3 linked regions of the Caenorhabditis elegans genome follow. The protein of the gene in region 1 purifies or fractionates together with the protein of each later gene. This does not show direct contact. Each region holds a gene or a part of one and is shown on either strand. Other genes may lie near its edges.

What was found. Proteins that work in one complex are often made in the same cells at the same time.
Region 2: the proteins of F17A9.5 (region 1) and icl-1 fractionate together in Caenorhabditis elegans (co-fractionation; one large-scale study listed by BioGRID). This does not show direct contact.
Region 3: the proteins of F17A9.5 (region 1) and lars-1 fractionate together in Caenorhabditis elegans (co-fractionation; one large-scale study listed by BioGRID). This does not show direct contact.

What each region holds. Positions count from the first base shown.
Region 1 is NC_003283.11:6,109,487-6,116,282, forward strand, and holds F17A9.5 (NADH:flavin oxidoreductase/NADH oxidase N-terminal domain-containing protein), read right to left. Parts: upstream 3,512-6,796; 5' UTR 3,447-3,511; coding exon 3,195-3,446; intron 3,144-3,194; coding exon 2,457-3,143; intron 2,281-2,456; coding exon 2,003-2,280; intron 1,954-2,002; coding exon 1,815-1,953; 3' UTR 1,485-1,814; downstream 1-1,484. Other genes in the region: cwf-19L1 (CWF19-like protein 1 homolog), read left to right, coding at 4,384-4,634, 4,690-4,854, 4,903-5,163; F17A9.4 (NADH:flavin oxidoreductase/NADH oxidase N-terminal domain-containing protein), read right to left, coding at 1-41, 89-775, 825-1,076.
Region 2 is NC_003283.11:722,971-731,318, forward strand, and holds icl-1 (Malate synthase), read right to left. Parts: upstream 5,035-8,348; 5' UTR 4,988-5,034; coding exon 4,958-4,987; intron 4,889-4,957; coding exon 4,415-4,888; intron 4,010-4,414; coding exon 3,182-4,009; intron 3,114-3,181; coding exon 1,865-3,113; coding exon of another isoform or gene 1,854-1,864; exon of another isoform or gene 1,813-1,853; coding exon 1,487-1,812; 3' UTR 1,368-1,486; downstream 1-1,367. Other genes in the region: fbxb-72 (F-box domain-containing protein), read right to left, coding at 1-744, 790-857.
Region 3 is NC_003281.10:4,180,182-4,190,320, forward strand, and holds lars-1 (Leucine--tRNA ligase), read right to left. Parts: upstream 6,621-10,139; 5' UTR 6,604-6,620; coding exon 6,491-6,603; intron 6,441-6,490; coding exon 5,969-6,440; intron 5,511-5,968; coding exon 4,425-5,510; intron 4,000-4,424; coding exon 3,088-3,999; intron 2,819-3,087; coding exon 2,189-2,818; intron 1,932-2,188; coding exon 1,799-1,931; intron 1,746-1,798; coding exon 1,531-1,745; 3' UTR 1,368-1,530; downstream 1-1,367. Other genes in the region: putative mitochondrial carrier C16C10.1, read right to left, coding at 1-153, 206-515, 774-869, 1,188-1,251; R74.2 (FIP (Fungus-Induced Protein) Related), read left to right, coding at 8,074-8,133, 8,182-8,973; ssp-28 (Saposin B-type domain-containing protein), read right to left, coding at 9,230-9,480, 10,060-10,117.

The DNA of each region.
Region 1 (6,796 bases):
CCGGTCAAGTAGACAACGGTTTTCTTGAAAACTGGACGAATCTGAAATGGAAGCTCATTTAAATACTGATTTTAACCAGGAAAAATACCTTTTCGGCGAATTCTAAAAAGAAAGCTTCACGGTTACGAGTCGAATCACGCATATGATGGAAGGCGAGCTTCTCATAAGTTCCACCGGAAAGTTCTACGAAATCGAATCCTTTGTCTTCATAAACCTGGCACATAACTTTTGCATCGTCAACAGTTGTTCCCTGCTCTTGGAACTCTACCGAGTTTGTCTTAATTCCCACCATAAATCCAGTTGATTCGGGAATTTCAGCTCGAATAGCGTCATAGATCTCAAGGATGATGCGTTGACGATTCTCAATTGAACCACCATACTGATCAGTTCTCTTATTGGTAGTTGGAGACGTGAATTGAGCCAAAAGATAACCATGAGCTCCGTGAAGTTCAACTCCATCAAATCCAGTCTCGTAGGCAAACTTTGCAGCATAAACGAATCTATCAATGATTTGAGTCTTGATTTGCTCTGTGCTCAATGGAACAGGCTGTCCGAATGCAGTGAAACGCCGTTCACCACTCAACTTCACATCAGAAGCCGACCACGGATTCGGTTCTACTGTAATTGGAGTCTGACGGCCTCCGTGAGATAATTGAACAACGGCAAGAGCTCCGTCCTGCTTCATGTTTTTTGCCCACTGAGTGAACAGAGCTCTACGTTCTTCTCCATCTCCTTCTTTGAAAATTATGGCATTTCCAGCAGATTCCAAATTAGTCTAAAATTATATAGAACGTATTATTTTTCTAAACTCTTCAGTGACTTACCGGGTCGACAAGAACATTTCCAGTCAGAATAGTACCAAACTTTCCGTGTCCCCATTTATCGTACAAGTTCAAGATGAAGTTTGTAGGAAGACCATGCTTCTTTGGATTTTCCGGATCATAAGTGGACACTCGTTCGGTTAGTGCAGCTTTCAAAAACCGATTTTGAGCAGTTTTCCCATTTCGGAAATTGAGTTGCTCTCCAAGAATTTTAGAAGAGACAGTTAAATTATCACAGAAGCGACTGGCAGCCATTTTTCGAAGAAATGAAAGAACAAAATGTTACTTTTATAGCAGTGTACACGCAGGTCAAATATAGTGCGTTTTCTGATCGGCTAGGTTGTTGGGCAAACAAGAGTATGCACACCTTATGAAAAGACGCAGAGGCAGAAAGAAAGTGTCTAACCAAAAAGATGACAACGTTTGCTGTTCTATTGTGGTCTCACTGGTCGAGTGATGACAATTGTGCACCTGGTTGCCTGAGAAACGAAGAAAGATCTGTGATCTTATGATTTTATGGCTATTTCGAAAGTAGAATCTGAATTGCATTTTGTGCCCAGTCACAAAGTGGAGACGCCGAAGTATTATATTTCTTCTTTCTAACAAGCCGATTAGAATTGGTTATGATACACGTCGCTGAATAAGTTTTCTAAGAGGCAAAGATAGCATTACGAGAAAGTTTTATAAAAAGTTTAAAACACCTAGATTATGTAAAATAGGTTAAATGTTACGGGAACACAACATGCTGAGAATGCGTATTGGGCAACATATTTGACGCGCAAAATATTTCGTAACGAAAACTACAGTAATACTTTTATTGACTACTGTAGTCGATTTACATACTCGAATTTCGAAATGAATTTCTAATCGAAAGCGAATTATTTTTTAAATTATTTTAGTTTTCGCTACGAGATATTTTGCGCGTCAAATATGTTACCCAGTACGCATTCTCAGAACTTTGCGTTTCTGTAATACCAAGTGCAAATACAGTATTTAGTTGAATGCAATTATTGCTTTCGGTATTTTTCCTTCACTAATATCGAGTGCTGCTTGTTTCACATGTAAGCCCAATGCTTCAGAAAATCTTTGAACGGTGTGCTCATCGCTGAAGTCGGTGATTAGATGCATTATACTGAAAATGATTAACTTTCCAAAGTATCAAAAACTACTTTGGATCATACTTTCCGCCTGCTTTTTCCATATTCGTACGCCCCATTTGATCCATTTGTGTGCCACTTGCCATTACTGTTGTTGCAATATCATTTGGATTGAATGAGTCTTGAACTGCTGAAATGGCTTTTCCTTCTAGAATCTTCTTTGGCAGATCTGGCTCCGCTGTAATTGGGCGCCCGAGACCAATTCCTTGAGTTGCATTACAGGAGATTGCGTTGATCATAGCAGAAACTGTTCGGAAACCTCCAGTCAAATATACCACCGTTTTATTGAAAACTGGGCGAATCTGAAACCGTTACAATCAATTTAATTTGATTGATTGTGAAAATGGATGACTTGGCAGGGATCCTAATTCGATTAAAATTTGGAAAGTACGAATGTATAAACTTTGACTACGTGTTTTCAAAAACCTTTTCTTACATGATTTTTTGAAATATTGTTAGTATATAAATAAATAATTACCTGTTCGGCAAATTCAGCAAAAAATGCCTCTCTCTTCTTAGTCGACTCTCGATCCCAGGTCCAGTTGAGCTTCTCAAATGTTCCTCCAGTTAGCTCCACAAAGTCAACTCCTTTGTCCTCATATACTTGACACATAATTTTAGCATCTTCCAAAGTAAGTCCTTCTGATTGAAATTCCACTGAGTTTGTTTTAATTCCCACCAAAAAACCAGTTGATGCCGGAATTTCAGCTCGAATAGCATCATAAACCTCGATAACGATTCTCTGACGGTTTTCCAGCGAGCCTCCATACTTGTCAGTTCTCTTGTTAGTTGTTGGAGATGTGAATTGAGAAAGCAAATATCCATTGGCTCCGTGTATTTCGATTCCATCGAATCCACATTCATATGCAAATTTGGCAGCATAAACGAATCGATCTACCACTTCTGTTTTAATTTGCTCAATTGACAAGGGTTTCGGCTTTCCATACGTTGTCATACGTGTAGCCGATACAAGTTGAACATCAGAAGCTGACCAAGGAGTAGGATTCACGAACTCTGGGGTCTGTCTTCCAGCATGAGATAGCTGAATTACGGCAAGAGCACCATCTTGTTTCATTAGCTTAGCCCAGTAAGTGAACAGAGCTCGACGCTCATGACAATCTCCTTCCTTGAAGATTATAGCATTTCCAGCAGCTTCCAAATTAGTCTGAAAAGGTCAGTATTGAAATGAATGGATTTTTTTGTTGAAAAAACTTACTGGGTCCACTAGAACATTCGAAGTTAAGATCATTCCGAAATTTCCATTTCCCCATTTATCATAAATATTAAGAATAGTATCAGTTGGAAGACCGTGCCTTTTTGGCTCATTTGGATAATAATTGGATTGAATCTCGGTGAGGGCAGATTTCAAAAATCGATTATTAGTTTCTCGACCATTTCGAAATTTCAAATGTTCTCCAAGAACATCTGGGGAAACGATTTCAGCATGTGGGAAACGACGAAGAGACATTTTGGTTCTTTGTGTCGACGAAATGATTGTTGTATTTATACTCTTGGCCACATTCTAACTACAATGCATGTTTGACCTTATCTCTTGGTAATCGTTGTGTTTTTGGGTACTCTCTCTTTTCCACCACATGAAAATTTGTTGTTCTTTGATTAAAATGCGACCTTTTTCTGTATTTTACGGCCTAGTAATTTTGTTTTTTAAACCTGAAAATGAAAGTAGTATTAAAATGAACACATTTGAATTAAAAGTTAAACATTTAGTGCGTAGGGATAGAAAAGGATAAGTACCTGTTTTTGTTACGAAAACAACTGAAAAAAGGAAGTATAGAAGATCATAAAACATTCTTCGCCTAGTTAAAATACATTGTAAGAATATAATGAAATTTTGGAAAAAAATAATCCAAAAAATATTTCAAAGGCTTTTATCGCCAATTGTACCGAAACAAAAAGTTTTAAAAATTTTTTAAATAATTATATTTAAAAAAAAATGCAGACATCTATTACGGGAACACAAACTTGTAAGAATGCGTATTGCACAACATATTTGACGCGCAAATATCTCGTAGCGAAAACTACAGTAATTCTTTAAATGACTACTGTAAGTCATTTAACGGGCTCGATTTTTGAAATAAATTAAAACAATCTATTTATCGATACAATATTGAAATTAGGCAAAAAATGAGAAAATAATACGAAGAAACGAAGGAAAATAACTGATCGCTTATCGAACCCGTAAATCGACCGAAACGCTACAGTAGTCAGTTAAAGAATTACTGTAGTCTTCGCTATGAGTTATTTTGCGCGTCAAATCTGTTGCACAATACGCATTCTCACAATTTTGTGTTCCGTAATATGCACATTCTTCAAAAATACAGTTTTCGAGTTTTTAATTGTATTGACTCGAAAAGGTTAACAAACATAAAAAAACGTTTTTATAGGAAACGATGGACCACGAAACAAGCAACCAGTTGGACCATGTTGGTTCTGTTTATCGAATGTAGACGCCGAAAAGCATTTGGTGGTCGCCATTGGAAATAAATGCTACGCAGCCATGCCGAAAGGACCACTCACTGAAGATCACGTTATGGTTCTATCTGTTGGACATATTCAATCACAAGTTTCTGCTCCAGTTGAAGTTCGTGATGAGATTGAAAAGTTCAAGAGTGCGTTCACATTGATGGCGAATAAGGTAATTATTTAAAACAGAAATTCGTTTTTTTAGCCTCAAAATCTGTATATTTCAGCAAGGAAAAGCATTGGTCACGTTTGAACGTAATTTCCGCACACAACATTTGCAAGTTCAAATGGTTATGATCGATAAATCATCTTCGAAAGCATTGAAATCATCGTTTACAACTGCTGCTGCTTGTGCTGGTTTCGAGTTGGTCACAATGGGTCCTGATGAAAGTGTAAGTTCGGATTAATTATTTTACAATGAATAAAAGACAACGTTTCAGCTTCTCGACATGGTCAATGAAGGATGTCCATACTTTGTCGCAGAGCTTCCTGATGGATCAAAGCTTTTCACTAGAAGTATGAAAGGATTCCCATTGCATTTCGGACGTGAAGTTCTTGCTTCTACACCTATTCTGGATTGTGAAGACAAAGTTGATTGGAAAGCTTGTGTACTCGCGAAAGAGAAGGAAGTCGAACTGGTCAATAAACTGAAATCTGATTTCAAACCTTTTGACTTCACTGCTGAAGATGACTCCGACTAATCAAGGATTTTAATTTTTACGATCTGTTATTTATTTTATTGCTTTTCTAAATATTTATTAACTTAATTCCTCTCTTTTTGCTTGTTTTCTTGTGAAAAACTTTAAGATCAGTTTATGAAGAAGAAGAATTTTAATGCACACGAAAATGTTATTTGAAAAAAAAATTACTCTCAATTTGAAGGAAATTGGATAAATATGTGAAAAGACAAATGTAGTTTTCTTTAATTCTGAAAAAAACTAATCTTTCTACAATAATTTTTATTTAAGCAGTTACAAATTACGGGAACTTACAGTTCTATTGCGAAAATATCTCGCAGCGAAAACTACAATAATTTTTTAAAAATTACTACTGTAGTGCATGTGTCGATTTACGGGATCGGGGTCTAACAAGGAAGAATTATTTATTTATCGATAAAATATTAAAGGAAAAAATGAGACTATAATGCGAAATAACGAAGGAAAATGGAACATTGCTGTCAATATTCAAAAACAAATTCCTATGCTACAGTAGTAAAACTTTCATGAAATATCCTCATTCTTGAGATACATAAGTTTCACGAGAAAATGCCAAAAGTGAACTCACAAGGTGTCGGCTGCTGTATCTATTGATTTCAATGTATTAAAATTTTGAACCATGTGTTATCATGCAGAACAAATGCCACGTGGTGTCAGAGTGTCCCATGTCGGTTTGATCTACGTAGATCTACAAAATATGTGGGAGTTGAGACGCAGAGTTCTCAACTGATTTCGCATGGTTAAGAACGTGTTGACGTTTGGGGAAAAAATTCCCCCATTTTTTGTAGATCAATTCCCGATGGAACAGCCTGAAACCACGTGAAATGTTAGAAAAAATTTTGTTATTTGGGCGTTTCTTTCTATAGTTCCTAGATTGTGAGTTATACTTATTTGAAAACTAATAAAAATCACCAAAAAATCAAAACCGCATATACTTTTGGCCAACACTGTACATACTCTCCAATAGCAACACATGAATTATTATTGAAAAAATACGATCGCACAATTTTCTCATAATTTATTTTTGATTTACCTTGTTGAATAGGCTCCTTCTCTTCCTCCGGCAAGACAGCCGCAACAAAATAGCAACGGCAACAAGATTGGGGGCGGAGTCAAGTTCAACAGGTAGATCAAAAATAAATTTTGAGAAATTTGTGCGATCGTATTTTTTCGATAATATCTACTTCAGGATATCTTTTTATTATTTTCTCGAATTTCACTTGTTTCTAGAAAATATTGCTTGCAAATTTCCCTAACAATTCTCGATTCCGAAATGGTTTTGTCGTCGAAATGGTCGAAATGGAAATGATTTTTTTAAATAGCTCAACTTTTGTAAAACCTAATTTCATAGCTTTCAAACGTGACATTTATTTGGATACTTACTATTAGGACTAGAAAATGATATTTTTATAACTGAATTTCAAAATGTGGGGTTATATATAATACACAAGTACCGGGAAAGTATTTACGTGACCAAAGGTTATCATAATGGCATCAAGACGTATTATATTGATTTAAACTCTTTTGCATGATTTTAATTTATTTCTGAATTTCTCCACTAATTTCATTAGTGTGATCGATACTCTCTGCTACTCCTCGACGAGCACAAAAGGTACGT
Region 2 (8,348 bases), 5.4 Mb from region 1:
TCCAAACTTGTCTGTAAATACACATAAAATTGAAAGTACTCGAGTCTTGGGTTGGATCCGTTGATCCAATGCCTCAAGAATACGTTCAACTGATTCACGCCAATAAGGTCTTCACCATATATTAGAGTACTGTTTATGGAGAGAACCTCTACAAGACTGCATTTGTACAAGATTTGGAAGAAATTGAAATTTTGAAACATGAACTCTTGAGCTGTATGAGTTTTAAATGGGAATGTGGGAAGACCGAAGTCAAGCCTTTTACTTCTACTCGAAAACATTCTTATGATCTTCTGGTAGAACGAAGAGTTGTCCATTTGTAAGGGGCTCACAAAAGTTTGAACGTCGAGTTCCTTGAACTCATCACAAAACTCTTGAGTGCAGTAGTTGTCCTTAGATATGGAAAATTCATCAAGTTTTGAAAGACTCAAGACATCGAAAAAGTGATCAACAAAATCTCGTATTCCCATATTCGGAAAGTGCATCCAAATCCGACTGTTTTTAGTTGTATCCACGATTCCTATATATTCATCTGGATTATCAATTAACACAACTCCCGCATTGGGGTCATAGTAGGGATTGGCTCTATATCTGCTTGTGTAAAAGATGAAGTTGATTGTATCACGCCGAGCGATTTGAATTTTGAGTTCAATCAACTCTTCAACATTCACAGAAATCGATAAGGCGCTTCGATGCAGAGATTTAGAAAGATTTTTCGTCTTTTTTGAAAACAACGAAAATGTTAATCTGAAATTGTTCACATTTGGTTTTGTTTTTAGTTAAATAACTTACATTTCTAGAAGCGGCCAGTGTTGAAGTGTGCAGCGAAGTGCTTTTGTGGGTAGTCGGAGAATATTCATTTGTGCTAAATAAGAAATGAGAGGGAATGGACAACTGACGTAAGATTATCGACTATTTGAATGGCGAGTCGTTGCGCAGATGTACTAATTTGAGTCGATAGGTGTGTGGAGGCAGCAGGCCACCTGTAGAGCATCTATATTGCAATTTACAGTTTGCTATATGTGTTTGCAGCGGAACACGAACACAAACAGTTGAAACAATTTGATTGTTGAATAATGAAACATAAGTTTTAGATAGAAAACATATGTAGCTTATGTAACAAAACATCGCTTCGTACTTTATGACTCTGCAGCTTCAATTTTCACGCTTCATAGATGTCACCTTTTTATCTCAAACTTTTGAGACTTACGCATAGACCAGAGAACCAGAGAAAATTCAAGATTTTTTTTTCAAGTGATTCACTACGTGCTTTTTTTGTGTGAAAAAATGAAGTGACACGGATATGAGGTAAAGTCTCAAATCGTGGGAAAGTCTGGAATTCGTGGACTTTTTGAACACAACACGGACATGACAAAATTTTACTGAAGAGATTTATAATTAACGGCAGAATGTACAAGAAAACCAGTAGGTGCAACGAAAATCATGGAGAGAAGTATACAAATAAGTAATTCAAATTTAAAAAAATTTCCTAATATCCTTCAGAGACAAGCCTGTCGTAAGCGTCGGTGGTCAAGAAGTCGCTCATCTTCTCCTCGGTGACAAACTTCTCGAGCAAGTCGGCAGCCTCTGGGATTCGGTTGACAACTGATCCGGCTCGGATGAGACGACGCTCGGTCTCGGCGGCAATCGTTTGCTTGACAAGTCCGGCGTCAATAGTGCGACCGTCCTCAAGCTTAGCATCATGATGGAGCCATTGCCAGAGCTGAGCACGCGAGATTTCGGCGGTGGCAGCGTCCTCCATCAAGTTGTAGAGTGGCACGCATCCGGTTCCTCTGAGCCAAGAGTCGAGGTATCCTGAAATTAATTCCAATTTCAAAAATGTTCAAAAATATTTTTTAAGGCTCACCAAGAGTTACAGAGATATTATGGCGGAATCCAGCTTCAGTGCGGGTTCCCTCTGGGATCACAGTGAGGTCTTCCTTGGTGCAATTGGCGCGGGTGAGATTCTTGCTGATCTGGTTTGGCTTTGGCATCATTTGATCGAAAACTCTCTTAGCCAATGGCACCAATCCTGGATGAGCAACCCATGTTCCATCGTGTCCGTCAGTGGCCTCTCGTTCCTTGTCAGCTCTGACTAGGGCAAATGCCTTGTCATTGGCGACCTGGTCGTGCTTGATTGGAATCTGGGCAGCCATACCTCCCATGGCATGGATACCACGGAGATGGCAGGCCTTGATGACTTCCAAGGAGTAGTTTCTCATGAATGGAGCGGTCATTCCAATTTGGAATCGGTCTGGGAGAAGGAACTTGCGATGGTTCTGGAACGTCTTGATGTAGGAGAAGATGTAATCCCAACGTCCGCAGTTGAGTCCGACAATGTTGTCCTTGAGGGCATGGATGATCTCGTGGAGTTGGAAGCTGGCGAGCAAATGCTCAATGAGCACGGTACACTTGATGGTTCCACGGGCGAGGCCTAGCTTGTCCTCGGTGTACTTGAAAACGTCAGCCCAGAGTTGAGCCTCCTCGGCGCTTTGAAGCTTTGGAAGATAGAAATATGGACCGGAGCCCTGGGCGATGAGGGCCTTGGCATTGTGGAAAACGAAGAGTCCGAAATCAAAGAGAGATCCTGAAGTTGGCTGGTTGTGGATGAGGACATGCTTCTCTGGAAGGTGCCATCCACGTGGACGGACCTTCAGAACGGCGTGTTTCTCATTCAGTGTGTACTCCTTCTTAGTAGTTGGGTGGGTGTAGGAGATGTTATTTCTTACAGCATCATATAAGTTGATCTGTCCTTCAAGCTGGTTTCTCCATGTTGGGGAGTTGGAATCTTCGAAGTCAGCCATAAATACATTGGCTCCAGAGTTCATAGCATTAATAACCATCTTACGATCGGTTGGTCCAGTGATCTCAACTCTACGATCTTGCAAATCCCTTGGAATCTCGGCTCCCTTCCATCCTTGATCACTACGGAGCACCTCGGTCTCCTTGTTGAAATCTGGGAACCAGAGGGAGTTGTTGATATCAGCCTGAACTTGGTTGCGCTTGGAGAGAAGTCTCAAACGGCGAGGGTTGAATTCGGTGTTGAGGTCGTGGAGGAAGCGAAGAGCATCTGGTGTGAGGATCTTCTCGTCTCCAGCAACGTTTTGGGCGGTGAGCTGAAATTTTGTTTAGTTATTTTTTCTTCTAATTCTTGCCTTAATATGCAGGTCTGAATAAAACGTACCGAAAGGATTTCCTCATCCTGCGAAGCAACAGCAGTCTGGAATTGAGCTTCTTCAGTGGATCCTGACAAGGCAGTAGTCGAAGAGAGTCCTCCGGTAACCGCACGACTGACAGCGTCGAAGTATCCGGTTCCCACTTCTCTCTGATGCTTTACTGCCGTATATCCATGCTTCTCAGCAGCAAACTCTCCTTCCTGGAGCCCGGAATAGGCGAGCATACCCTTCTCCTTGTAGTTTCTGGCCAAGTCAAACATGCTATAACTGTTGGCATGGTATCCGGCAAGCGTGATAAACTGATATTTGAATCCCATAGCTCCCAACTCCTTCTGGAACTTCTCCATCTGCGATGGGGACAGATGCTTCTTCCAGTTGAAGGATGGAGAGCAGTTGTAGGCGAACATCTTGTCTGGGTACTGCTTGTGGACACCTTCAGCGAATTCACGGGCGTCGGCGATCGTTGGGTGAGAGGTCTCCATCCAGATGAGATCGGTGTATGGAGCATATTGGATGGCACGATCGATACAATACTGAATTGCAGTGGAATCCTTGAGTCTGTAGAATCCTTCAATCGTTCTTCCAGCCTCGTAGTCAATGTATGGATGATCTCTTGGATCAATGTCAGATGTCAAAAGTCTAGAGGACTCTGCGTCGGTTCTTGCGACAATGATTGTAGGAACTCCGCAGACATCAGCAGCCAAACGAGACGCATTCAAGTGACGAATGTGTTGGGCGGTTGGGATCAAGACTTTTCCTCCCATATGACCACATTTTTTCTCCGATCCAAGCTGATCTTCGTAGTGAACTCCTGCCGCACCGGCTTCGATATAGGCCTAAAACAACCAACGATCATTTTTGTTGTTTTTGATAGCGTTATCTAATCATTCTAATCATTGTTGGGTGGAGAAAAATAGAGAAGAAAGATGTTTGTTGACCGAGAAGTGAGCGCTGCGATGAAATGGGGGTGATAAAAAGAGAAGAAAGGAACACATGGAACTTCGTATGTACCGATTTTGGAAAACTGAATAGGTCAAAGGACCAGGACCACTGGACATTCTTTGTTCCCTACACACTCCCCGTCCCGTTTCCTTTAGACGCCCGCGTTGAAATCATTTGAAACTATACACTTTTACACAACAAAGCTACACACCGGCAATGCCAACTGCCACTCTTATCTCTCTCACCCCCAAAAGTGTCCAGTGGTCAGTGAAGAGCAACTGTTAGTGTTGCATGCCTACCTTCATCAACTCGAAGCAATTCAGGGCTCCACCGAATCCGGCTTCTGCATCGGCAACGATTGGCGCGTACCAATCACGTTGGGCGAGGTAGTCCTCGGCTTCACAGGCTTCAATCTGGTCTGCTCTTCTTAAAGATCTGTTGATTCTCTTCGCCAATTCCGGGCCAGAGTTTGCTGGATATAAAGACTGATCGGGGTACATGTCTCCAGCGGAGTTTGCGTCGGCAGCCACCTGCCATCCGGACAAGTAGATAGCCTTCAATCCGGCTCTGACCATCTGAACTGCTTGGTTTCCAGTCTGGGCTCCGAGAGCCGGCACAAATGGCTCAGTGTGCAATAGTTGCCAGAGTTTGTTGGCTCCACGTGTGGCAAGGGTGTAGTCAATGTCGATGGAGCCTCGGAGTTTGAGCACATCTTCGACGGTATAGTCACGTTTGATGCCCTTGAAGCGGCCTTTTGGAGCCGATTTGACTACCTGAAATAATTTAAATTTTAAAAATTTCATATATTAAATTTCAAATTATAAAAAAATAAACCAACATACCTGATAAAAATTTTTAGCCGCAGAACTCATTGTGTGTGTCTTTGTATAATAAGCTTAGTTCTTGTGAGGGAACTAAAGTCGGCACACCTCCCGGGACCCGGCTTTTATACTCTGCCCGACGAGACGCAGAGCGATAAGGGTCCGAAACTATAGGGGGCGGAGTCGAGGCAGTGTGTGATATCATTAGGAGAGAGAGACAATTGATGAATAGATAGAAAGAGACGCAGAGGTGCAGAGAGAACAGTCAATTATTTTGTTTACGCTTTTTTTGTGTGTCTTTTTGGCAGCTTGATATGATGGTTGATCGTTGATGAAGTACGCTTTTTGAAAATGTTTAGGTATATGGGAGATGTTTGTCAATAATGCAGTTTTTTTGAAATTTGAAATGCTGGGTGCTAACTGTTAATATTTTAGAAAAAACTTGGTTTTTCTATCAGAATTACAAAATTGTAAGTCTATTTTAAATTACAAAAAATGAAAGTCAAAATAAATCAACCAGAAAAAATTAAGATATGAAATTTTTAGGGCATTTATATATTTTTTATTAGTCTAGAATTGCACCCAATTTGCAGTTTTAATGTACATAATAATTTTTTTGTAATTTTTCACTTAATTATTTGGCTGTAACCGTGACTTGAAAAATTTTACAAAATGGTAAATTTTGGTTTTTCAAATTTGTAAAGCTTACTTCTTCATATTGCCAGACTATTTATGTTAAATAATACTAAATAATCAGGAAAAAGTTGAGTAAACAATTACATATAATGAAAGGGCAAACAAACAAAATCCCACTGGAATCAGTTATTTTTCGTAAGAAAACAACATTGATAGGATATTTTTTTGGAGTAGCGGGGAGTTTTAAAGTTTTAAAATATGTTCAGAATTTCCCAAAAAGGCTACAAAACTTAACTGAAAACCTATATTTTATTTTAAATTCAAGTCAAATAAAACCCGTTCTTCAAGTCTTATGCATCGCTGAATTTCTGTACAACATTCCTGGTGGAGCTCTCTCTGGGATTTAGGTTCGAGCCACGGAGAATTCAGATTGCTCCATTTAAGACTGGGTGATCCTAGAGGGTGTCAGGGCTTGAACTCGTTGCTAGCGGCCACTAAGACCGGCTATCCCCGCCAGTTTTGAAATATCTGTCAAATTCAGGTTTTCTTTTAACTATAAACTATTGCATAACCTGTTTGAAAACAATACTTTGGTCTTATTTTTCAAATAATTGCACTATTCAAAAAGAAGACACCAAAGCACCTTCACCGCGCCACGATGTTGGTCTTTTTCCAAATAATTTTTTTCTTACACACATCCCCAATTCACCACTGCAACAAAAACAGCCGACGGTGGACAACCCGAATATCGCGTGTTTGGTTCTTAGTTTCTCTGCGGACTCCTGACTTATCTCTTTATCTCTTTGTTGTAACCATATGATCTGTGAAGTGGCGGGGCTGAAGCTTCTTTGATCCAAAAAAGAAAAGTATCTATGATGTGAGATGTATATGTGCACTAATCAATGATCTTGGTGATAAGGAGTCAGAACACATGTGGTTGAAGTTGTTTGACAAGAGAAGTGGAAGGTCAAAAATTATTTGGAATTTGCGGTGCCAGAAAATATAATGAACACTTTTTACAACAAGAAATCTAGATTAAAGATGTTAATTTTCAACCCATTTTTTACATGAAACTTTAGCCCTGTCTTAAACTTTAGGTTTTAGGCTTTAGGCTTTAGGCTTTAGGCTTTAGGCTAGTTAGGAATATTTTAATTTCCGGAAACTTTATTTTTTAAAAATCAAAATTTTAAATTTAGCGCTGAATTTTGTAGAAAAGTTAAAGATATAACTTTCTCCAATTTTTTTTTGTTGTGAAATTAAGTTAATCGAAAAATAGAATATTAATTCACCGCCAAAAAATTTGGAACAACCTAAAACTTGAAATTCCCGCCAATTTTTTTTTAATGTGAAAGTGCTGTCAAAATGGTTAGAAAAATTAATTTTCATCGATTTTTTTGTTGTAAAATTTATACCTTTTAGAATTTAAAATTTAACGATTTTTCCGGAAATTTTAATTTTTTTTATGACTCGCCATAATTTTTCGATTTTTTTTTGGAAATTGAAAATTCCAAAACTATCGAAATTTTTTTTTAAATTAAAGATTTTAATTTAAACTTCCCGACAATCTTTTTTGAAACATTGAAATTTCAATTTTTACTCGAATCTTTTAAAATAATTTTTACACCTTCCTTGCCAAAAAATTTTAAAGGTAAAATTTTTTTTAACCTTGCGCTGTTTTGTAAACCGGTAAATCAATGTGTATTTTATCAGAAAACACCATTATACAGAAAAACCTACACAGAGACCCAGACAATCAGCTAAATTGTTCTTATGATCTTCGGCAGGTTTTGTGTGTAAATGCTTATGAAAACGTAACAAAACTTTTTTTCAATAGGCTCCCTACAATTTTCAATCGTTCTTTGAAGCTTTTTCCCAGTCCAATCAAGCTTATCAGAAACTCGTAAAGTTACACAGTCACGTGTAATTTATAAATTCGAAAACACAACAACTGTATCGGGGGGACAAAGTACGACGGGGCGCGGAGGCCACGCGGTGTACTTTGGACCTCTTCAAAAGTCCAAAGGACCTGTTCATGGAATGAAGAAAAAACAATCGTAGCATTGATAGGGAACAGATGCTAAGGATTTTAACCTGGAACAACTTTTTTCTGAAAAAAAATCAAAAAAATCAGAAATTGTTTGACGAAAACTTTCAGTAAAACATTTTTTTTTCAAATTTTTCTGAAACCTTGACAGAATGTTGACGATGCTTCAAATAATCATTTATATCATTTTGAAACCCAAATTTTAAGTATTCAAGGTGTTTTCTGTACTTAAATCTGAATGAGTTTATGGAAAAACTGTTCAAATTGTTTTTAAAAATGTTGAACTAATCAATAAAACTACTGGTAATTCAGAAAATTTTTAGAAAAATGTTTACTAAAAAATGTTTGCAATTATGGGAACAATTTTGGAAGTTTTCATAAAATTTAATTTAGGTATTCGAAAAATATTAAATTTCTAAAAAAACATTTTTTGCAGCTAATTTTTGTTCTTATTCAACATTGAAAATATGTTAAATTTATGTTCAAAATGTTCAAAATGAGCAATAAATCCACTAGTACTATTTGCCAAAGTTTCACAAAAATGCTCGAAAAATTTTTTTAAACTAAAAGTTTTCGCATCAAAAAACTTCTAAAAATTTGGATTTTTCGAACGAATTAATTTTTTTTGAAAATGTCCGAATTGTTCCCAAGATCGGTTTTATTGAGGAAAATATTTGACCATTCAAATACTTGCCTTTTCAGACCTTATTATTTTAGTTTGTACAAATTTTG
Region 3 (10,139 bases), on another chromosome or scaffold:
GTAAGCCTCTTGCTTTGCATTTTCGTACGAATCATCTCAATGGGACTGACTACCGTAACCGCAATGGTTCTTGCTACAATTCCAGCCACTGCTGCAGCTGACCAATCAGGAGGCGTCCATTTTTCCGGAGAAAATGCCCGTCGGCAACACATTCTGAAAACCATTTTTATTATTTTTGGAATTTCAACAACAAAAAAATTCTAACTTTTTCTTCAACCAAACTGATAGATTATCATAAGTTGTAAAATAGAAAACAGTCGCCGGTAGAGCCATAACCATAGTAGGGGACAATCCACTCCATAATGACCGTATTCCTTCATGTCGTGCAATTTTCACAATTGCATCTGCAGTTCCACGAAAATTACCGGGTCGTTGATACCATTCACAAGGTTTTCTGACTTCACACGATACACAAACGTGCTCCATAAGACCATTGTGATAGTAAAAACATTCTCCTTTTGGAAATGGTCGAGTTTGTTGTTGGAGTCGAATTTTCACGACGTCTAAGGGAGTCACTGCAAAGATAAACTTTTCTGTTTTCGATTTTTCAGGCGTATATACGGTTGCGTGTCTCGAAACGACCGATATTTCGCAGATACCGTATCCCCAATAATTTTTTTGTTGTGTTTTTTCAATGCTTTTCAAATTGTGAAAAAATTATAATTGGGAAATACTTCTGGGTACGGTAGCTGCAAAGTTCCAATCCTTTCGAGACCCGGTACCGTACTTTTCTGTCCAAAATTGAAAAAATCTGCAACTGATATGAAGCTTACTAAAAAGTGATGTAACAATTGCACCAGATGAACTCGCTGATACTTGTTGTAGTACTCCAACGGATAGTTGCTTCTTGCAGCATTCTACTGATTTCGCTGAAAAGATTTTTGTTCGTTATATTTTATTCCAGATATTTTCTTCGAAAAATTTAGTTTTTTAACGCAAAAGTATAGTAATTTATTTTTGTTTTTGTTTGTACACGATCGAAATATTTTCAAATGAGGTACTGTAGCCTCACTCCTTCCAGATTTTGATGTCACATGAATAATAATTAGTAGACTTTAAAATCTCGAGAAAACAATGTGTTACCCACTTTTCATTTGGAAGTAATTCGATCGTGTCGAGACCCGATACCATAATTTTGCGATAAAAATCCCATATTTTCCCGAATGAGTAATAATCAAAATATTCACCACAAGACGAGGAAGGTGCTCCGGAGCAATTTGTCGTTTTACCGCTTTCACATGGTGACGGCATCTGTTACTGGAAATACGGAAACTTCCGATAAAAAATAGAAAATCACATTTAAAATATTAGGTTTGAAATACTTAGATAACAAATCACAGTTTTCAAAAATCTAGTATAATAACAAAAAAACCTTTTCATTCAACTTGGAAACAGGGAGAAAACAGTGAAAGCTGAAATAGGGATTCGGGTACGTATAAATTATGAAAATGAATAGAAACAACAAAACTCAAAAAGTGGGGATATAATATTATTAGAAACAAGAAGAACAAATAATTTTTTAGAAAGAATCTAGTTTTCTGGGACGTTAGCCTTGTACACAATAGTACGCCCAAGATCGAACTTTTCACTTCCAGAAGTCACAGAAATCTTGTTATCAGCCTCGAAATTGAAAATGTCTGCGTCGGACAATTGAATGTTCTCCTCGAATGGATTTCTGTACGAAATCATCTGTCGATCTCCCCAAACCGCGTTCTTGTATCTCCAGAGGCTCACTTCGAATTTCGCTGAAAATATAATAAATTGAATTTATTGTTTTCGGAATAGGGTTTTCTCATACGTTTGATTGCCTTGCTGATGCGTCTCATCTTCCGAATAACCATTGAAACACTGTCTCCATTAACAATTGGTACATCAACATCGAACATTGCATTGCAGATTTGAACATTTCTGGCGACAAGTTTGATTGTTGGCTGAAAATAATTATGATGTCATTATTATTGGTACGCAGAAAAATTCCCCTCTTGAAATTGATATGGAAATGCGCTCCACTGCCGATTGACAACGCCCCGCCTCCTACAGTTGGGTCTCGTAAGGTATTTGGCGTGCTTGAAAACTGCAGAGACGAATTTAAAATGTTTGAATTTACGGTTTTGCCGCCAAATACCTAACGAGACCCATGGTTAGAAGGCGGAGCATGTTCCCATGCCCCTATAATATGTTTCCTTACTCTATTCGGCGTGAAATTCAACATTGGCACCAGCGGTACTGTAGTCTCAACAATATTCGCATCAATTCCCTCCTCATCAGTATGTCGAATAGTAACACGATCCAAATCCAAAGCGTTCATAATAAAATCAATATTCTCGTTGAGAATTGAAGTTTGATCAACTGGACTAGAAGAAGCCAATGCTGAAACACCCTTCTGTTCGAATCTTTCCTTGATCATTTGAACGAATGGCATCGCTTTTTTGGCGAATTTCTTGAGTGATTCTTCTTTTCCAATGAGCTGACTGATTGCTTTATTATCTGGAAGTGCTCCATTATTAGCCTTGGCTTGTTTCTCAAGAATATCAAGAATAGTCTTCTGCCATGGTGGATATTCTTTAGCAACATAGATCACTGCTTCAGTTGGAACTTCTGGAATCTCCTTCAGTGCCTTCTTCTTTGGAGTCATGTAGGTTTTCAGTCGGGCACGGAATTCGGCCAGCGATTCCGTGATGAAACGAGCACCAATGGCGAGCTTCTCATCGACAGGATCGACAGTTGGCCATGGAGCATTTACAATCAAGCCGTCTTTTCCGAGCAATTGCCAGATGTATTCAGCAATATGTGGGCAGATTGGTGATAGGATGAGCATCTAAAATAAAAAACAAATTAAACTTTTAAAGGTGTCGTCTGGCGTTTTTTTTTTGCCCCAAATGACAGAAATCAGTCTTAATCGAACGAAAATAGATTTTAAGAAATTTATAGAAATTTCCTAAACTTTTTTAATATACGGCAATACTGATTTGTTTTTTTTCTCGTTTTTCTAGAATTTTTGTTGCAGAATTTGAAACAATTCTTTCAATTTTTACACTAATAATCGGTATCTGTCATCTTGAGAAAAAAATCTTTCTGAAAATATACCTGAGTTTCAATGAATCTAAAGACAAGCGATTCGCTCATTGGCTCATCAATTCCAGCGCAAAGTTCTCTGTATGTATCTCTAATGGCTTGATATTCGAAGAATCCAGTTTTCAGTGCATCCTTGAAGTTGGTAGCTTCATAATTTTGTTCTGTGGCAGCGATCAGTGAATTCATTTCATTTGCAAAAACTCGATCAGCGAATTTCTTTGCATCTTTTCGGAGAAGTCCGGCATCCCGTTGTTCAATCATTTCCTTGATCCATTCGATCATAGTGAATAGTCTCAGAATAGCTGCATCTGCCATTGCGTACACAAAGTTAGCATCTTCCAAACCATCCCCAGCATCGGCAAGACTCAATCTCATACCATCTGCGCTGAACTTTTCGATGGCTTCTTCCAATGTCATAAAGTTTCCAGTGGATTTCGACATTTTCTCATTGTTCAAGAGCAAATGTCCATTGGCCCGAATTCCTTTTGGCCATTTTGAAGTGTCTGTTGGCCAGATTGCAGCATGATTGAACAGAAGATATGTCAAATGATTTCCGATAAGATCTTTTCCAGATGCTCTCATATCAATTGGATACCAATACATGAATTCTTTCCTCAATGATTTAAGCTTTTCCTCCTCAACCGGCATGGTTTTCGAATCGTAAATTTCTCCGAGGAATACATAACTCCACGAAGCATCTGTCATCTGATCAGCTTTAATTCCAGCAGGTCCGACGACTGATCCATCAAAAGCTCCCTGTTGGAGAAGATGAGCAACTGTATAATAAGCATTGTAGATTGTAGAGTCTGACAGAGATTCGATGAGGTATTGAGTATCCCATGGAAGTTTGGTTCCAAGACCGTAACTTCTGGAGCAAGCATACTCGTGGAGCCAATCGACTGTGGTTTCCAATCCACGGCGGGTCTGAAAATTTTAATTCAGCGGAATAAGAATATACTACATAGACATCTAAAAATGAGAATTTTCGACATATCTTACGCGCAGAGGACGCAGGCAACGAATTACTGTAACTTCTGTTGTCTAATGGGCCGTTATTGCGTCATATTCTTTAAATTAAACTCCAATTTCAACAAAAAGGGTTTTAAAAAAATCGTCCGTAGAGTTGGAGTAATTTGTAAACTATGATATTCTTTGAACAAATTTTTTCGATTTTTAGATAAAATTGTGGTTTTATTTAGAGAATATGCTGCAATAAAAAACCCTTTGATCGGCAAGTTACAGTAACTCGTTGTCTGCGTGGCAAGACCTCTGCGCGTAAGAGATGGCGAAGATTCTTATTTTTAGACGTCTACATAATATTTTTTCAAAAATAATTTAAAAAAATATACCTCATCATTGAAAGTTCTGAGTGGCTCAAGAACCTTCTTTGCAGCAGCCTTCCATTCAGCCTCTCCATAATTCAAATACCATTGATCACACAACGCAACGACGCACTCATCTCCAGATCTGCTCATCACCTTCTTCTCAGGCTCCACATATTTCGTGGCAAGACCTTCAGCTGTCAAATCATCTTGAATAACTTTCTTGACGTCGGCTGTCTTCTTTCCAGCATACTTTCCGACGAGCATAACTCCATCGTAGAATCCTTTCAAATAAACTTCTTTCTTCGCCTCTTCCAGTTTGTCCTTCTCATTTTGAGACTCAATTTTCAGCCTTGAGCACATTTCAACTGCAGCCAAATCCCCAAGTCCTTCGATTTTAATAATTGGAACTGGTTCGAATGGAAGAACCATCTCATCAGTCAATCCATATTTTTCTCTCAATGGCTTCTTCTTCTTGAGATCCGACAAAGCTGCAAAATCATCTGGAGAGTCTGATGGTACACTTGTAACAACACCAGTTCCCTTATCATCCTTGATAGTCAACATTGGCAATGCATAAACTCTTTCGTATTTTGCGAGAGGCGCAGAGAGTGGAGCTCCGAGAATCTTGCTTCCAGCGATTTTCTCGAGTCCCAGGACATAGTTGACTTTACCATTTTCCTTAGTCAATCCTTGATATGACATGATTCTAGCAGATCTGGCAGTTGCCACAAATACTTGTTTCTCGTTTTCCGTCGCATAAAACACGGAATATTGAATATCTGGATGGAGATAACAATTCGTTTGTCCGTACATTGTTTCAGGTCTCAAAGTAGCCGCAACGAGATAAATATCCTCTTTGATATGGCTCAAAGCTTGAGGTTTTGGATCAAGAACTTTCAGTTTAATAAGAGTATATTCTTGTGGACCAACACCTTCTCCACTGGCACGATCGTGATCCATGCATGGTTGACCGTCTTTCGGTGAATAAATTGTATATCTCTTTCCGAAATCGATCTTCTTAGCTGCACGAAGAAGGTTGAACTGCCAACGGACGAATGAGTCGAAGTATGGATTCACGTCGGTGGTGATGAAGGAACGACGCCAATCAGCCTGAAAAATGGCAATTTTTAATTTAATAATTTCGAAATGTTTCTTTTTTAATTTTGTGATAAGTTAAATTTTTTTGAGAATTATATTATTATTAAAATGGAGAAGCAAAAATGAGGAAGTAAGGCATTTTGTTCCAATATTCATTAAATACAATTCAGGGATATAATATAGAAAAATATTTCATTTATCTGAAAATAGCTTTGATTAAGGTTGAAAAATTGGAAAAGTGCCAAAAAAATCGCCGGTAAAAACCGACCAATTATCGAAATTTTTTTACAGGTTATTTTCAACTTTTAATCACTAAAATAAAAACTATTTTCAGATAAATCAAATGTTTTTTTTCCAAATTCTATCACTAAATTTTAATCAAAAATATTGGAAAAACATAATAATTTAGTACTATTTTTACAGAACTCACTTTCAACACTTTAAGATGATTTCAACACTTTAAATCTTACCTTTAGTCCCATTTTCTTAAGATCAGCAATGCAATGTGGTGGGAAATAATATAGCCAATGATTTGGATCCGAGAATTCCTTAATTTCCTCATCACACAATCCCAGAGACTTCATAATTTGCCATTGGTATTTTGCATTTCCAGTTTTTGCCACCAATTTACTCTTCTTTCCTTTACTCTTATCCTTGATAATCTCATCGACAGCCGAAACTTCTTCTTTAACTTCCTCGACAACATCTTCCGGGAAATTTGGTGGATATCCGAAATCTTGCATTTCTCTTTTCAATTTATCTGCACATGCTTTAATTGGCATTCCAGTACAATGAAATCCGAATGGAAAGAGCACTTCTTTGCCTTGAAGACGTTGGAAACCGGCGGCAAATTCACATTTTGAAGCTGAGAATGTGTGTCCCAAATGAAGACGTCCATTCATGTATGGGAAGGGAAACGTGACGAGGTACTTTGGTTTTCCACTGAAATTTTTTAAATTGAAAATAATTCAAAATTTTCAGAAAAAACTCACTCATCCCTAGCATCCGCCTCGAAAGCCTTCTTGCTCTCCCACAGCTCCTGAATGCTCTTTTCAATTTCTTGAAGTTGAGCAACCTTCTTCCGCTCCTTATTGATTTTCGACATTGTCGATATTTGTTACCCTGATATTTAAAAATAATTAAAACCTTTAAAAAATTCTTTTAAGCAATAGATTACATCAGAAAACACAAAATGATGAAATTTACTTGGTTTCTATTTGAAAAAAATCAATAAGTGATTAGAAAGCAAACAAGTTTGTGGAAAAAAATCGATATTGAGATTTAATTGTCGATAAAAAAGTTCAAATTTTAAAGGGAACAACTTAAAATAGGCCCATTTTCTACCGTTCTAAAAATCCTGCATTATCATGGCCTAGTTTTGCAATGGCATCGACCGCGGCCACGTCAACTTTCCCAACTTTTCATAGGGGTTTCAATCACTCGGAGAAGGCGATAAAATAATACAATATTATAAAAAATGAAGAAAAATGTACTTTTCGAGTTCTCGAACAATAATTTACCAATTTATAGAAATACAATTAGTGATTTTTTCGGAGCAACAACAGAAATTGGATTTTTTCTACAATTATTAGTAATCTATAACAGGCTAAAGGTACATTAAAATAGTTTATAATAAATTTAATTATCTTTAAATTTTTTGGTATATAAAAATTCTACAACTGCTACAACATGAAACATATTGAAAAGGAATTTTTGCAATATTTCATATTCGACTGATTTCAGGAATAGGTCACACTGCACCATATTACTTGGAATTAAATTCGTAAATGCTCCGTTTTGCTCTTAACGAATCAAGTACGGTTTCTACTTTTGAATGGAATTTTGCAAAATATACTTAGTTCATAAAATTATTCCTTTTCCATATCCAATGAAGGCCAATTTATCAAGTTGGACACACACATTGGTCAGATTACAACAAGTGGGATTACACTCAACATCACTTTCTCCTTGCTATAAATACCGGCTGACAGACTTTAATAGTGACTTGAGATAGGTTCTTCGCTGGACGAACTTGACTCGATTTGTATTAATTCATCTAAATTTCTCAAAGCAGAATGTTCCGAAATCTAGATTTTAGTAAAATAGCCATATTTAACTAAATATGTTTCCATAAATCTTCTGAAATTCTCCCAATTTTTAATTGTTTTTTAACCAAAATTTTAATACCAAAAAATTTAAACATCTTCTTAATAGAAGGTACACAATAGATCATATATTTTCATAGTGATACTACTGATTAACCCAGGCAAAACATGATATATCCTAATTCGCAATATACAAAAAAAAACATTCCTTATCTCCGAAAATTTCCAGTTCTAATTTCACTTATTGCGCAACCATGGACGTCCGTCGTCTTCATCACTTTCTCACCTTGTTGTATATCACTACGCAACAAACTTATATAATTTTACCCGATATGCCAAGAACCAGATCTGTTTGAGGCAGATGATGTCCAGCTATTTGAAGGTTTTGTTACACTTCTAGTCAACCCGATTTTGGGAGTATTTAACGACGATGGAGATTGACCGATTTTAACAATCTTACACACTTCTAGATGAGGAGATCTATTATTTTTCTAGCGGCGATTTGTGGGGTCACGTTGGCTGAAAGAAAGGTGAGTTACTTTGGACAATTCGTACCTACGAATATGGATAATTTTTAGGCAAGACAGGATAATGTTGGTGACGATTATTCTGATTTTTCATCTCAACCGGTCAAGAATGCTGGTGCCAACCATAATTTGAAACAAGTAACCTACTCAACAATCGCACCGAAATTCGATATTCCAACTCGTGCACCACTTTTGAACCCAAATCCGATTGGACGCAATCAGAATCCCGTTCAAACTACCACAAAGAGGCCAGTTGTCGCCTATAGAAGAGGGTATTTCTTCCAGCATTACCCATGGGATAGGCTTCCAAGAAGATATCTTCTTCGTCCAGGAATGACATATGTATATCCACCACAGTACACATTCGCAACCTACCGTTATCCACATCTGCCATACACCGACCACTACAGTATCTACCGTACTCATCCAGGAATCGGTTCCGGCTGTGGAGGAGGTGGGTGTGGTGGCGGATATCCACAGGGTTACGGTAGCTATGCTGGTTATGGAAACAGTGGAGGATGTGGAGGTGGAAGTGGCACCGGATGCGGGGGTTATAACGATGATGAAGACGAGGATTCATATGAAGACAGCGATGAGGAGAATGGAAAGAGTGGAGAAGCAAAGATCAACAAGAAGGATCCATTGGAAGATTTGGAGCTGGAAGATTTGGAAAAACTATCAAAATCTGATGACACAAAATCTGGAACTTCTGAGGCAGTCACTTCTGATGATGTTGATGTTGAACCAACTGAGATTAAAAAATCAAAGTTAGGAGATGATGAGGACCTGATTGACGATCGAAAAAAAAAAGCAAAAAGAAACTTCCTCGTCAAGTGGGCTTAATTAACTAAGAATTTCACTATTTTTGTTAAAATTATTATTTATTTTTTGTTATTGAGGATCTCAGGGATAATTGACAATTTGCTGCAATTCGAATTCTCTGCAATATTGTAAATAAATATTTTTTCACTTTTAAAAACGGCCGACAACAATGAAAACGTATGTTTCCACTTCATATAACCACAGAAACGATATGCACGACATCAAATAAACATTTCAAATGACTTTATTACAAAATGCATTTCCTCCACTCAAAGGATTACTGTAGGTCACAGAATCGCAACGCCTGACAGACACTTGTTGATGGAATACCTTGTCGAACACGTTGAAACATTTCCTTCACATTCTCGGACACGAATTGCACACAAACAGGCTCCATGAGTCCCATTTTATCGCACTTTTTGAACATTGAATTAACTGTTGCAGTAGGTGTCATCTCTCTTTCAAGAGACTCACTGACAACTGTGCACAACATGCATGTCACCACGGAAGTTGCTTCACAACGAAGTGCTGAACAGAGTATTGTTATTAATTGGTACTGATCAAGCTTAAGCCTTTTCTAAAACTGACTGGGAAACATCTAAAACCTAGTGAATCATAAATTATCATCACCTTCCGTTCCAGGTGCCGACCTACTTTCGGTTTCAATCGTTATCTCCGATTATCTTTTGCCATCCGAAAGATAAATGCCAGTTGCATATACACAAAGAAAAGTGAAAGAACGTTCATAAAGACGATAGCTTCTCATATTTCTGGTAGGCGAGGAGAGGAAGTTTTTGAAATTGACTCTTTTGGCTTTTTTGTAGTCAAACAGAGCGTGCTGCAGCTTGTGACTCATCACAATACTTGAGCCATTTGGTTTGACACCACACTTCACAAAACCAAAGTCACAAATCATAGAAGTTGAGGGAAATCTTTCTATTCGATGGCTTTCAGATCTAGTCTTAAATAGCGACAATATTTGTTCAAAAAGAAACAGAATCGTTCGAAATTCTGATATTTATCTTAAATCAAAGCGTTATTTGGCTTTTTTTTTTAAAGATCTCTATTAACAGAAACACCACGATGACGCGTGAGTTTATAACTTACAATTGGCAACAAGAATAGTGAATAAAACTGACAAGGCTACACTTGACGGGCAGACCATCTCGGAAGACGACGAAACGGAC